Kluyveromyces lactis: one gene and its partner. The protein of the gene in region 2 purifies or fractionates together with the protein of the main gene of each other region. This does not show direct contact. Links are inferred from orthologs where the notes say so. Each region holds a gene or a part of one and is shown on either strand. Other genes may lie near its edges.

Region 1 (2,131 bases), on a different chromosome or scaffold from region 2:
AAAGGAAATCTCGTCACTGGTGGATTGGTCTATCCAGTTGCATGGATGTTACGGACTCTGTTCAACACAAACACCCTTGTCACATATGTGGCAAGTGAGTCGATCGCTAAGAATTAATGATACGCCGGACGAATCATTAATATCACAACTGGGGAGGTTGGAAATCAGTAATTATAACAAATTTCAAAAGACATACGATCAAGAATTAACGACGCTCGCTGGCAAATGAGTTGATCCGTTAGTTAAGAATTAATTTTGACCGTTATAATGGTTCTATTTTATGTCAAATGGGGATTATTGTCCCATTAATTTTTTTTTTTTTTTTTTTGGAATGCCATGCCGCGCTATCTATGCATTTTACTTATTATGAATAGTACAGTACCGAACCATATATAAGTGAATATATATATCTCTATGTGATATATAATTGAGTATCAAAAGATAAATACCCTTCAAAACCACACGATCTCCAGTTTGTGTAATGATTTAGTTTAGTTTAGTTTAGTTTCGAATTGTATGTTTTACGATTTTTTTTTGCTTGTCTTTTAAACTAATTATAATCTTATACTTAATACAAATCACCTTTATTGAAATCGGTAGTTAAACCAAGCTGCGCTAGTCTCTTACCCTTAGCAGTGTTCTCCTTGTATTTCACCTCGTCCATTTTCTCCTTATAGCTTTCAGCTTCCTCAAATGGAACACGTTCCATCGATTCCAATGGTGCATCCTCCTTATCGATGTCTACTTCGCCCAACATAACAACGTTTTCACCTCTTATCATGAAAACTCCTCTGTCACATTCACCATATTTATTCTCACCCTCGATATATATTCTTTCCACCGTATGCTGTAGTATTAAGTTGGCATATTGATCAAACGTCCTTAGTACACCGAAGAACATACGGCCATCGCGCAATAGTACGAATATCTTGCGGTCTACTGAGCCAACAATGGCAGCTGTAGTTGTGAAATTGTATTGGTCCAAATATAAATCTGCTTCACCTTCTGATAGCTTGGACTTAGGACGATTTTCTTCCACATCGGAAGCCACTGGTTCAGTAACTCCTACTGAACTTGCTCTGTCGCTATTCGGAGACGAAGAGGACATTTGTAATTTGAGACTCTGATTCTTTCAATGAGCAAGTGAAAAAAAAAAAAAAGATTATAATGAATTGTAAAATTCAACACTGATTGTGATAGTTCTGGGTATCACTTGAAGGATAAATAGGCCGTTAAAGCGTCCAACGATTCATCTTTTTGGCAGTTCATTGCAATTCCATTTGATGTTGAGCTAGCTGAAACGAATTGAAGAAAAAAAATGTATGGTAACGTTGAGGCAGGGTAACTATAGGATGACTACCTTTGCTACAGGACCGCATAGTCATTGCACAGACAAGGCACAAATGGTTAGCTTGATGATTCTGTTTCCAAGTAGGTGAAAGGTGCTGCCAATCCGGATACTAAGTAGGGACGTCATGACTCCGTATCATAGTATTGATTGCTGGATTTTCCGGGATTTTGTTTCCCTGCCATGCGTATTTGAGGGATAATAGTATGATTTCCAAAATGTACATATTTCAAAGATGTCTTAATTTAGTATTGCGTATATAAAGGCAGCAACAATTACTGGGGTGACCTGACTTAATTAGACTGAAGTATTTAACTGAGTAAAAGTTCGAATTTTTTATAGAGGGGGACATTGACAATCAGTATCTTCAATTCATCATGTCTATGTTTAAAACCATCCAATTTCAACCTCGCGTAGTGACATTATTCACACACAAATTAGAATCATCTCATGCTCAAAATCTTCTAACGGCATTAAAATCGAACCACAAGAACAAAATCAACATTGAAATATGCCAGAAATTCCCTACTAGAGATCAATTGGAATATTTGGCAAAAATTGATAAGCCCGACTTAATGGAACAGATTCCTAAGACGGAATCTCTTTTGAAAAAAGCTGCTGAGGATCCACTATTTGGGTCACCATTGCAGAAATGTGTCGAGAATGGGTCTTGGAATAAACAGACGAGCTTATGGGTTGACTGGGAAAAAGCTGTATTAGGCACGACGGTTCAATCGTTGAAAGAGAAATGGTTACCAAAAAACTGATATGGGAGTATAATAA
Region 2 (3,637 bases):
ATTGAGTAGATTGATTGGCTATATTGTATGATTGAGCCATCACGGTTAAGACCGGCCAGTTTAGTAATACTGATTCTTTTGAAATTATCGTAGTAGGACAGGCGATTGGAATGAATGGAGGAAGAAGCTGATTGATTAAATTTACAGGCGATAGCGCCTGAAAAAGAAAAAATGAAGGCATTCGTATTCCAAACCTGGGCATACAAGCAAAGGTGGGGAACAAAGTCCAGGAACCTTTAGTGGAATTCGTAGAGATGGTTAGTATTGAAACCCACGATTCATATTAATTCAGGGCAAAAAGAATAAGACCCTATAGAGCAACCAAATAAAGTGTGCTGAAAAAGTGCATTGATTATGATACATTTAGTTATAGTCAATTTTGGTTAATGTACAATCAACATTAGTGAGATTTTTGAAACGCGCAAGGATTGTCGAGTATTTGAAAATATTCAATAGCGTCTAGAGGTACAATATGCGTGGTATGTGGACAAAGCCTAATTTTTTAACAAATACAAAATAATGACAAGAACTGAAATTGGACCTGAATTTCAACTCATAGGATCGACTTGGGTTTTGAGTAGTAAAAGTGGGAAATTAAGATAAAAAAAAAAACTGCTCCGTTAGAAGCAAGCATTAAAACAATGCTTAATTCATTATTGAGGAGCTTGAGTGTATTGTTGTTGTGGGAAGCCTTTTGATGGGAAAGGTTGAGGTGGATAAGCCTGTTGTTGGTAGTTTTGCGGCATTAGAGGCTGACCATATTGCTGTTGTTGTTGGTTTGGGAATTGTTGATATTGTTGTTGTTGTTGTTGCTGTTGTTGTTGCTGTTGCTGCTGAGGAGGAGCATGGAATTGCACTTGAGTTTGTTGAGGAGGCAACGGTTCAGCATTTGCAGGTTGTTGGGGAGCATTTGCAGTGATTGGCAGGGATTCCAAAGGGAATGGGATTGGGACTGCGGAACTATCTTCCGCAACGTACAAGGATTTATCAATTTGAGATGGGATAGGAGCAATTTCGGTGTTTAATTCTTGCTCGATCTTGTACAAGTTGAATCTATCGTTCCAGTTAATCAAGTTGATAGCCAAACCCAAGTGACCGAACCTACCAGATCTACCAATACGATGCAAATAAGTTTCGGCAGTCTTTGGGAAATCGAAGTTAATGACCACATTAACGGCTTGAATATCGATACCACGAGTTAACAAATCGGAACAAACCAACGTACGAACTTTACCTTGGCGGAATTCATGGAAGACTTTGTTTCTTTCGGATTGTTTCATTCTAGCATGTGAGTAGTAACAAGAAAATCCTAATTCAGTAATTTTTTTAGCCAAAAGTTCGACACGGTTAGTAGAATTACAAAAGATAATTGCTTGGTTGATTTGCAATTTACTGAACAAAGTGTTCAAGCAATGAAGTTTTTGTTTTTCTTCCACGAATGCATAAAATTGTGATATACCCTTTAGTGTCAATTCATCCATCAAATTAATCTCATGAGGGTTTTTCAAATGCTTCACCATGAACTCTTTCACGGTGACTGGGAAAGTCGCACTGAACAAAAGCAGTTGACGACGTTCTGGTAAGAACCCAAGTATTTGTTCCGCCAACACTTTAAAGTCACGACTTAACATCTTATCCGCTTCATCCATAATGAACAAATGACATTCGCTCAAATCTGTCACTCTTCTTGATGCCAAATCTAGCACTCTACCGGGCGTACCCACCAAAATGTGTACAGGTTCATTTAATCTCATGATGTCATCTCTCAAATTCGTACCACCAGTGGTAACCATACAAGAGATACCACAGTGTTTCCCTAGCGTGCGCACCACTTGTGATGTTTGCAAAGCCAACTCTCTTGTAGGAACCATAATCAATGCTTGAATTTTGTTCAACTTGGGCTTCACTTTTTCCAAAGTTGGTATAACGAACGCTGCCGTCTTACCAGTACCGTTCTTGGCACGCGCTAATATATCCTTCCCGGCAATGGCAACGGGAATAGCTTCTTCTTGGATTGGGGAAGGCTTCTCAAACCCTGCTTCAAATATACCCATCAAAAGTTCTCTTTTCAAATAGAAATCTTCAAACGAACGACCCTTCGTGTTCAACACATCATCAGTCTGAGGCCTCGTATCCTTTTTAGGAATATTCAACTGGGTCTTCCAGTCGTTATTACTTTCGCTTGTATCGCTGCCCATATTATCAATTATCTTTAATATTCTTTGCAGATAAAGTTAAACCTTCTTAAATAAAGCTTCAATGAATTAGTCAATTAATAAAATTAGTCAATTAGTGTATATCCGGAAACTATGCTGTTGCTAATATCACAGAGTAGAATGTATAAATACTATACCTATGACCATAATACACATGTTATACTTTTATTTCCTCTTGTGCCTCTGTAATAATTGTTCAAATTAATTCTAAACTTCATAATTTTTTCTTCTTTCCAGAGTGGAGGGAAGAGCAATGTTACCCTACTGAAGCAATTACAAGTGCGGGTAACGGATATCACCCTTTTCACAAAATCCGAATTGTCACGTGATAAGAAAAGTGAAGACATGTCCGGGTAACAAATATGCCAAGGGCTAAGCTCAGCACCGTGAGGCTTCTCTATCACTTGTAGCGATAAGGTACGATGCAGTGCGAATAATGGGAATGCCTAGACAAAAATATATATAGATGTATCAGCGCATATGAGCGTACGTTGAAATGAGAATGCTCGAGGCAACTAGGCATTCCCATTACGTTCAATAGCAGAAGTGACTTCCTTTCATTTTCTTGTTCTATTCGTGGTTCCGTTGAGGACCACACTAATTTATCATGCACCGTATAAATAAAAAGTAGCGTAATAATTAAGTAATGATAAAGAAAGCCTATACAAGGCTAAGCAGTAACTCAGAAGAAGAAAGAGACGATTACTGAGGCAGCAAGGAGTGTTGCAAAGAGCCAACGTGTGTTGTTTTTTGGAACCTGGTGGGGTCTTTCTATTAGGGTTTCTAGTTGCATTTTAATTTTTGTCTCATTTTACAATCATCTGAGCCTGTAAGTTTGGCTTTGGTATTAATATCTATTATTGATCGTAAAACTTTAATATCTCCAAAGAGAAGAGGCGCAGAAAGTGGTGAACATTGAGGTCAGATTGACTTAAAAGCATATGATTACACGTACCCAAAACGGCTCGATGTTATTGAATCGAATAAACCATGAACCGTCGAATGATAGTGCAGAGGGATCGTGCAATAGTTTGTTCAAACCGAAGACTTTGAAACGGAAGAATTTGAAGCATTTGACTCTAGAATCATCATGTTCATCATCATCTTCCTCTCCTGACGAAATACCGAAAGGTTTTAGTAATGGAAATGGTCCAACACTCAGTTTGATGTTGGAGAAGCTTCCGGTCCGTGAGGAAATAAGTCCAATTAGCAGAGACACTTCATTCCAGACGGTTTCATTCCTTCAAGGGAGTTCTAGTACATCAGATATATCTTCCATTGTCAGCGGGACTACACCAACCACAAGAGATGCTCCAATGTCACTTACTCCTACAGGAGTCAGTATGATGCAACAGGAGACAGATGAAACGGCCACATTGACTACTCAGATTGCTCGACTTTCTTTAACCCCAGAGAACGGA

The links.
Region 1: the proteins of DHH1 (region 2) and LSM1 purify together in Saccharomyces cerevisiae (affinity purification with mass spectrometry; 6 studies listed by BioGRID, with this or other methods). This does not show direct contact. The link is inferred for Kluyveromyces lactis from reciprocal best matches to the Saccharomyces cerevisiae genes DHH1 and LSM1.

What each region holds. Positions count from the first base shown.
Region 1 is NC_006041.1:1,348,334-1,350,464, reverse strand, and holds LSM1 (Lsm1p), read right to left. Parts: upstream 1,109-2,131; coding exon 569-1,108; downstream 1-568. Other genes in the region: KLLA0_E15181g (uncharacterized protein), read left to right, coding at 1-229; FMP46 (putative redox protein), read left to right, coding at 1,726-2,115. UniProt on the Saccharomyces cerevisiae protein: Component of the cytoplasmic LSM1-LSM7 complex which is involved in mRNA degradation by activating the decapping step.
Region 2 is NC_006039.1:1,452,216-1,455,852, reverse strand, and holds DHH1 (DExD/H-box ATP-dependent RNA helicase DHH1), read right to left. Parts: upstream 2,199-3,637; coding exon 654-2,198; downstream 1-653. Other genes in the region: mitogen-activated protein kinase kinase STE7, read left to right, coding at 3,158-3,637. UniProt on the Saccharomyces cerevisiae protein: ATP-dependent RNA helicase involved in mRNA turnover, and more specifically in mRNA decapping by activating the decapping enzyme DCP1.